Linked DNA regions of Bombyx mori. The protein of the gene in region 1 purifies or fractionates together with the protein of each later gene. This does not show direct contact. Links are inferred from orthologs where the notes say so. Each region holds a gene or a part of one and is shown on either strand. Other genes may lie near its edges.

Region 1 (4,648 bases):
GGCCGGCAACACTGCTAGCAGCTGCAATAAACACACGACATGTAGATGAAGTATTACAGTCCCCGCCGATAAGTGCTGCACTTCGACATTTGGAAAGAGACAGTCGACTAATTTCGGCTTCGTAGAGCGTTATCTCTGTCGCACGAAACACTAACGTGCTGGCTCATACCGCGTCCAACTACTAACAGACTTCGACGTCATCCTTAGTAGGGGTATACTACATCCCTTTCTTTTATAAATAACTCTCGTTCTAATTAATGTTTTAATGTTACCAACTACCGCCACGAAGCTACCACGAGTTCCGGTCTGCCAGACGGGATAATAGTTATTGTTATAATAATGAGACTGCCGGGTCAGCTAGTATGTATATATTTACACGTATTTTAGTGTAATAGTTTATGGTGCCTATAGTACATGGAATCTTAATTTCAGGTGAGAAAACAGCATGTTAATAACAAAGAAAAAAAAAACAAAGCGGCCAGTGTCATTTAATGAGTTTATTTTTTCAGTTATCATGTGATTTACTAAATACTCTTTTGTTTCATAAACTTGATGTCGTATATACGGGTATCTGTATATATAGTGTTAATTTTCATATTGCCAAGTCGCATTGTACGTAGGGAGCGTCGACATGCCATTCGGAATATTTCGTACCGTATGTCTTTTTAATGCCCTTACGAACATTTGGGCAGCGGCTTGGCTCTGCCCCTGGCACTGCTGAAGTCCATGGGCGACGGTAACCACTCACCATCAGGTGGGCCGTATAATCGTCTGCCTACAAGAGCAATAAAAAAAAAAACACGGCCCACCCGATAGTAAGTGGTTACCGTGGCTTGTCGACGCCATCAATGCCATGGGCAGAACCAAGCCGCTGTCTACCGTACCTGAGATCCAGGAGCTGCTCACCTGTTCGAAGGGCTTGAACGGTTCCCCGAGCTCGAAGTCGATCTTCAGATCTTTGAATCCCTTAATGTCGGATATGTAGGGGGCGTAGTGGTGCGGATAGAACCAGCACCACGAGGGGCAGCCCTTGTAGTAGTAGTACAGGTTCCACTGGATGGCTCGCACGTAGCCCTCGGCCTGGTCCGCCAGCACTTCGCTGTTCAACAATATTATTTCATACTAGCCACCCGCCCTCGCTTCGCTTCGGAAACATTAAATTTTATTATTGAAAACTGAGTCCCGCGATGTTACCCGCGCTTATTATCGTACCGCGGGTGACGCCGCGGGGCGAAGCTCGTCTAAAAAAGTAGCCTAAGTTACTCCTTATATTATCAGCTACCTATCAGTGAAAGTCCCGTCAAAATCGGTCCAGCCGTTACAGAGATTAGACGGAACAAATAGACAGACAGACAGACAAGAATTGTAAAAAATGTTATTTTGGTGTATGTACCGTATATTCATTTGCACGTCGTAAAAAGAGGCTATTTCAATATTACAAACAGACACTCCAATTTTATTTCTATGTATAAATTAAAAACATTATTATAAAGCATATAATAGTTCCTAACGCGATTACTGGTGGTAGGACGTCTTGTGAGTCCGCACGGATAGGTACCACCACCCTGCCTATTTCTGCCGTGAAGCAGTAATGCGTTTCGGTTTGAAGGGTGGACCAGCAGTTGTATAACTATACTGAGACCTTAGAACTTATATCTCAAGGTGGGTGGCGGCATTGACGTTGTAGATTCCCACTTAACACCAAGTGGGATGTGAGCTCGTCTACCCATCTGCGCAATAAATAAAAATAATTAAAAAGAATTGTAGTTTTAAATTCCCGATATTTCTGCGCTGTTGCACCATTTTCGCGATTGGATCAAAAGCTGCGGTTAGGATGCTAAGAGCAGACATATCTATCTACCCTGATTCTAGTCCGTTCCGGTATGTTACCAATTTATTTTTTTCCTACCTAAGCTGGTAGCCTGGAGCGGCTATTCCAGCGTAACCGTAACTAGTAGGTGAGCTCACGGGGCTCAAACCTGACGACGTTGCTAACACGAACCCTAGCAAGAGTCGTGCTTCGCAGAAACGACCACCGGATCGGAAACGCGACCCACTGAGAAGATCCGGCGAGAAACTCAGTGGGCTGTGTCTGAGAGTTAATTTACTCGTCGAGCCCTTCGTCGCAAGCGACGGGTTCGACGAGAACGGTGACCGGTGCTTGTAGTACCTAGAAGCACCGTTAGTGGATCGGGAGGATCCGAGATGACGGGTTACCATTAAAGTTTACGGTACGGTATCGAGACTTTTTTCAGGAAATTTAAAGTATATATTGATAGCTGCAAAACAATAATACAATAATATTTTAAAATTGTAATCTGTTTCTAATCTTAATGTTGGCAGATGAGCTAACACAAATTCAACCGTCACCTGTGTCAATGTCAATGCCGTAATTACAAACTGTTTATATATAACACGTGATGTAATAATTATATATTTACATACTATCATAGAGTGGGTAATACTGCTTGTATTAAAACCACGTTTTTTTTTCTTTTTAAATGAATAGTAAAATTCTTACTCTGTAACTTTCGAATAGTCCAACTTATTCATATAATAATCTTTTTTATGCAAAATAAACTCCATTTCCATGTTGGCTTCCTCTGAAAGTTAAATTCAAGTTTTTATTGATAATTGAAACGCTGTGGAAATACAGTAATACTGTGGCATCAAACAAACGTAGATGACCCTGAGTAAGATCAGAACTAGATGTAATTTTTTTTTTTATAATAATATATTTAAAAAAATTAATTTCGTAAAGTAAAAAAAAATTTCGTAGGGTGCTGGAATTCTTCGAACATATTGCTCGTAAAGAGGGTACGATCTTCTCTAAGCATCAACTTCCACAATGCCCTTCATGAAGCTAAGGATCGCAGCAGATGGAGGGAAATCGTACGGGAGAAACTGATGCAGCGGAGGAGCCACGACCCTCAGTAATGAGGAAAACCACGCGAGGAGGATTTGAAAAAAATATATATTTCAACTCACCATCGCTCGTTTCCTCGTATTCTTCTTCACCATCTTCCAAATCATTCATAAACTAAAACAATTGATTTTATGAGATATCTGACAATAAAGGAATTTCATTTTAAAAACTTTCCACAGTCAAAAGGTTTAGGACTACGAAAACCAACTATCTTTAATAAGGATGAGCGACTCCGATTGGAAAATGAATCTGGATAGATTATTTCGTAAATAAAACAACATTTTACAAATACAAGTAATAATCTTAAAGTACAAATGAACTCATTTATCGTTAATGAAATTCGAAATCTGATTTATGATAAATATGTTTATTGTAACAAAGATAAGTACCCAAACTAAATAAGATATAGCATTCTATCTACTGAATTGAGTATGTTGTTACACTGTGAGATATAAATGTGACATTATACCTATAAAGTATAAACAAAATAAGTATAATGTAGTGAATTTTAAATAAATAAAGTTCATTTCATTCTGCTCCTATTTTATGTAACAGTACATATATAAACGTTTATATACTCAACACTGGCAACAATGTCATCGTAAAACGCCAATTGCCATACTGAAAAAAACATAAGAAGAAGGAAGTAGTTCAATGGTAGTTACCATATTGTCTGTAGCATTTATGAGTGCTTGCAGATCATTGTCCAAATGGTTTCCTTTTATTTCATTTACATCTACGTTGAACGTTTCATTGTTATTAGCTTTGTACTGAAAAGAAACAATCAATTAAAAGATCTATAGTATTCAACAAACAATTTAAACTATTGCATGTATGCATTTTATAAGCAACTAAAACGTGCATATTATTCATGTTTACCATTCGGTAAGCAAACAAAATACTACGATATAAAAGTCGTTACTACTTAAAATAAAAAACTATAAATACATTATAGGCAGGGTATAAATAAAATATTACAGTCAGTGATGAAACGCGGAAGTTGAATAACCGCATAGCGGTCATAATTGGCACATCGAGACTTGTGCAAATCTCTGCCAAGATATGAGTACCGATATTTGTCAAATAATAAGGCTAAATAAGGTAGTGCAAAAAAGTTTTAGCAATTATTAGTGTACTACTATGTTTTCTTAAAATACTTGGGCAAAAAAATGCGTGGTCGAGCTGACGGCTCACCTTATTTTAGGTGGTTGCCAAAAGCAATAGACATCAACAACATAAATACCACCATCTACCTTGAGACATGAGGTCTGGGTCTCAGTTTATATACAGTACTGGCTGACCCAGCAGACTTCGTAGTGCCTCAATCGATAAATAAAAGTCGATTTTTAGCGAGATAAACGAACAGCAGTTCATTTATATATATATAAGGACTATCTCACCCTTTAAACCGAAACGCATTACTGTTTCACGGCAGAAATAGACAGGTTGGTGGTACCTACCCGCGCGGGCTCACAAGACGCTCTACCACCAATTAATTAATTAAATAAATTATATTTTTTACAGGTTTCTTTTTCATTATGCGATGAGATTTATTATGCTATTACTTCACCGTAGAAGTTAATCGTGAACATTTGCTAAGTACGTATCCTATCCTACGTGTACGTGTCTTAATCCTTTAGACCACGCGACTTCACTAACAACTAATTAAAAATGATTTTCTTCAAAAATTTCCTATGTAAAATTTAATAAACTAGAGATAAT
Region 2 (4,072 bases), on another chromosome or scaffold:
AAAAAGGTATAAATAAGTAAATTAATTAATATTTCTATAAATGTCTAATTTGTATATAAAAATTTACTTGTCTAGCTCGCATTTGTTCTGTTTCTGATGGCACTTTCACCAACCAAGACAGGAAGGCACGATCAGCTGTAATTATAATGAATATTGTCGGTTAATATTTAAAAGCTATCTATCTATTTTTATGTCATATACTAAAACATTTTATGTTCTTAATAGGTTTTAAAATTGGTCAAGATGAAGTTACATAAAGAAATTTTACATTGAAAGTCTTTCTATTCATCTATTTGTTAAGTCTTAAGAGTATGATTAAAAGACAGCTCGTGATGATGTGGTATAATGACAATAATGCATAATGACTTGAATTGTGGGATAAGAATACTGGTTAGAGTAATTTCTTATCTGAGATCATTTTTAGACTTTGAAATGGAGTTTTCGACTTCATATCTCAAGGTAAGTAGTGTCAATATTGATACTGTTGTAACTACTAACATCATGTGGGCTGTAATATATTTTATATATAAATCTACATCATCATTTACAAGTCTTTCCAGGTCAACTTCAGGATGCTATGTTCATGATCACTATTTATCAGGTTTAGATATAAAACTTGTTATGTATAAACACATAAATAAATGTAAGCTTATCAGTACTACAAATCATTTGATTTTTTATGTTTTAAAAGATATAAACATACATATCAGAGGTTTCCACTGTTCCTGATCCCAGTTCATATCCTTCAAAGAGCTTTGAGCTGCACAAGGTTGTCTGAAAATTCAATTCTTGATATTAAATGTAGCGGGCAGTCGATAATTATCTAATTTATCTTGGTTTCAATTGTTTTATAGTTTTTTTTTCTCTGAGCACTGAGATAATTCTTCTTATTTGTACACTCTTGACAGAGTGGTCGTGGTCAGTGGATCAGTCGGATCCTGCAATACCGATGCTCTCGCGATGCGACACCATGTGGCGCAGTGTTTCACAGAGTGAGAGCAATCGTTTATGTTGGAGTGAGTCACAGATTTTATGACTGAGATAATAGCATATTACATATTAATGAGTGATTATTAAGTTTAAAAAAAATATCATACCGGCAAAGTAGCACAACAACAGAATCAGCTTTAGCTGGTATAAAGCCGAGTACGAATACATTCCGAGCACCACATGAGTAACATTCCAGAAGGGTTTCGCCAAGTGGCCCGTCACGGTGCAATGCAGCTTCCTTGTGCTTTGCACGTACTAAATGGTTGATGATATGAGAGCCTGAAGTGTTACCGCGGCCATTACAGAACCTGGAAAATATTATTCTTAAGGAATCAGAGTATATTCAATAAATTGTGTATAACATAATCTTCACTGCAATTTCTTTCAGACATTTAATTTTATTAAAATTTTCTTAATTTTTAAGTCATAAAGTACTAATTCTTTATAATCTTTATATTTCCAATTGCTCAGTAGTATGCAAGTGTTTTGTTTTATCTATCTCTAAAGTGTATCCGATCTATGATGTAGCATAGCTGTATTATATACTTCAATATCTAAATTTTGTAATTCAAGTAGGTCATTTTCAATGAGTTATAACATTACTACTTGAATCCAGTAAATTTTTCCCCTGATTTATTCCTCTACTCAGTTGATAATTACCAATGTAGGGCATGCTCAAAGAAGATGTAGGAACAGAATCTAAAGCAAATTCATTGTAACAAAGGCAACTTATTAATCTGCAATCTACATTCCAATAACTGTGTAAAGTTACAAAGATCTAACTAATTTTAAGTTGTTTCCAGGGCCCATGGATAACAGAACCATGTCTGTTTTGAGAGACACAAAAGACATGCCTGTTTTGAGAGGCCACAGTTCTATTTGAGTTGCTATTACTTTCCTAACATTCTAATTTCATTAGACAGATAATCATGAAAGATGTAACAACCCATGTTGATAAAATAAACCAATACTTAAAATAGTTAGGAAGCAGAGGTCAGTTTCATGTATATTGTAAAAAAACGTCTATAAATACTACATTTTTGGGATTATGATACTACTTACCACTTGTTGCATATGTTACACATAACGACTGTGGCCGGGTCGTGTATGCCACAGTATTTACAAGCATGATCTGGAAGTTCCTTGTTGCTGTACAAAGCCTCATCTTCCTCTTCGAATTGCAGCTCCGGTATCGTATTAGTCACGTTAGAGATTTTAGACGACAATTCTATACGTCCTATTCCGTTAACCTACAACGTGATAAATGTCAATAGTTACTGATCTTTCTGTGAGTTGAAGTGATGTGTCTTCGGTGGTGTTCTACATACCTGGTTGGATGAAGACAACCCATGGTCATGTTGTGAAGCCTGTGTCTGGCTCTGAGAGGGTAATGTAAAATCCGTGAACTCAAACTCAGAGCCTTGAGTGTCTGCTCCAATAAAGTCCCCTTCCTCTGTTTCCAGAAACGTGAGCGATTGCGAGCTTGGGTCGAATGCTTCAACACTCATTTTTAATGACGAATTTAAACAAACAAAATTAATCCAAAAGAAAATATATAGAACGACTATTGGCTGATATTTCCATAGCAGTCACGCAGTTATTCAAACGACACACAAATCGTGACGAAAATTCGACATGTTAACACATGGTTTGTTTCCGTATAAAGTTTTATATAAATTGTCTGTTATTCTATTTGTCAATTAATAATTTCAAAGTTTTGTACCAATCAAATCTTTGAGTGCAGTTTAGCTGTCTGTTTTTTAACCAATTAAAGTACAGAAAAACAAACTATTCCAAGTGAGAAAATTTAAGTACAGATAAAATATATTTACAACTCAAAGCTGTCACTTACTATTGCCACAAGACGCAACACTGGGCAATAGAGGCCAGGTCACAAGTACTACTTAATTGAGAAATATGACCGGATAAACTTAAATATACTTTTTTCTCTTCACTGTACCGATTTTCTCACTACAAAATAATCTAAATGACGCGAATGGACCTGGACTAACGGGCAAGATTGTTGTTGCGAGAGCGTTGCCAGCTGGGTTCAAATGCTGCGAAAAGTAAGAATTTTAGCTAGTTATTCATGTGTTCATAATGACAGCGTTATTAAATGAATGCCTTTAAAAATTTTTTCGGGTAAAAAAATTAAAATTTCCAAATATTCGTCAATACATAGATTACAATAATGGAAACTAGATATCTTATGAAACAATCAAGTGTTTGGAATTCATGATGAATCGGAGTGGGATAGTCGTTGTATCACACAATTGAAACCTCATATCCGGCGTACACCAGTTTGGGCACCGTTGATATAGTAAATTTAGTATTTTTTCATTAAATTTTTTTAGTTTATGAGTTTCTTAGGATCTATGTCGGAAAATTAAACAATATCGTTTTAGTTTTCATTTTCATTCAAAAAGACAAGTGAATTCACAATAAATTCCCACCATTTTACTGAGAGGCTACTGTATTTAATCTCATCTAAGATTTGAAGTGTTGTGATGTGTTGATGAGGTGTGTGGTGTGTTGAGGTGTGTGGTGAATTTGAGGTTGATTCATTTACCCTATTTAATTCCATTCCGTAATCAATTTCATTTCATTTTTTAAACAACAGATTTAGTTCAGTCAAAAGCTTTGCTGTATAGGCTATGCTCCCTTTGCTTGTCAAGTAGACGATTCAAATCAAACATTACATATCCTCACATTCCCGCCAAAAGTCAAAAGTACCGTAGTGTGTTGAATTAGTCTAGACCTTCATGTGAATGATCATCAAAAGATGTATTTAAATATTTGTACTATAAATTTGTTATTAAGATTAACAAAATTATTTATTCAACCATCTTAACAACGGGACGAGGAGATAACTTCATAGCTTGATAGATGGCGCTTTAACTGTGTATCAATGTCGCGCCACGAATGCAGAATATTTAGTATCGTTTTAAATTTTTTTTTTTTTTCGCGAGATGTTTTCGAGAAATTCCTTATTTAATTTTCAAACTTGGAGCTATGACTTGACTTTATACTAAGAATATGTAGTAATCTAGTATGTTTTAGGAATATCACCTGCGCGACCACC

The links. Proteins that work in one complex are often made in the same cells at the same time.
Region 2: the proteins of 5'-3' exoribonuclease 1 (region 1) and regulator of nonsense transcripts 1 purify together in Homo sapiens (affinity purification with western blotting; 4 studies listed by BioGRID and IntAct, with this or other methods). This does not show direct contact. The link is inferred for Bombyx mori from reciprocal best matches to the Homo sapiens genes XRN1 and UPF1.

What each region holds. Positions count from the first base shown.
Region 1 is NC_085128.1:3,931,811-3,936,458, forward strand, and holds part of 5'-3' exoribonuclease 1, read right to left. Parts: intron 3,697-4,648; coding exon 3,592-3,696; intron 3,041-3,591; coding exon 2,989-3,040; intron 2,604-2,988; coding exon 2,522-2,603; intron 1,100-2,521; coding exon 907-1,099; intron 22-906; coding exon 1-21. UniProt on the Homo sapiens protein: Major 5'-3' exoribonuclease involved in mRNA decay. Required for the 5'-3'-processing of the G4 tetraplex-containing DNA and RNA substrates. The kinetic of hydrolysis is faster for G4 RNA tetraplex than for G4 DNA tetraplex and monomeric RNA tetraplex.
Region 2 is NC_085127.1:8,613,908-8,617,979, reverse strand, and holds the start of regulator of nonsense transcripts 1, read right to left. Parts: upstream 2,801-4,072; 5' UTR 2,499-2,800; coding exon 2,319-2,498; intron 2,241-2,318; coding exon 2,053-2,240; intron 1,299-2,052; coding exon 1,098-1,298; intron 775-1,097; coding exon 704-774; intron 136-703; coding exon 68-135; intron 1-67. UniProt on the Homo sapiens protein: RNA-dependent helicase required for nonsense-mediated decay (NMD) of aberrant mRNAs containing premature stop codons and modulates the expression level of normal mRNAs.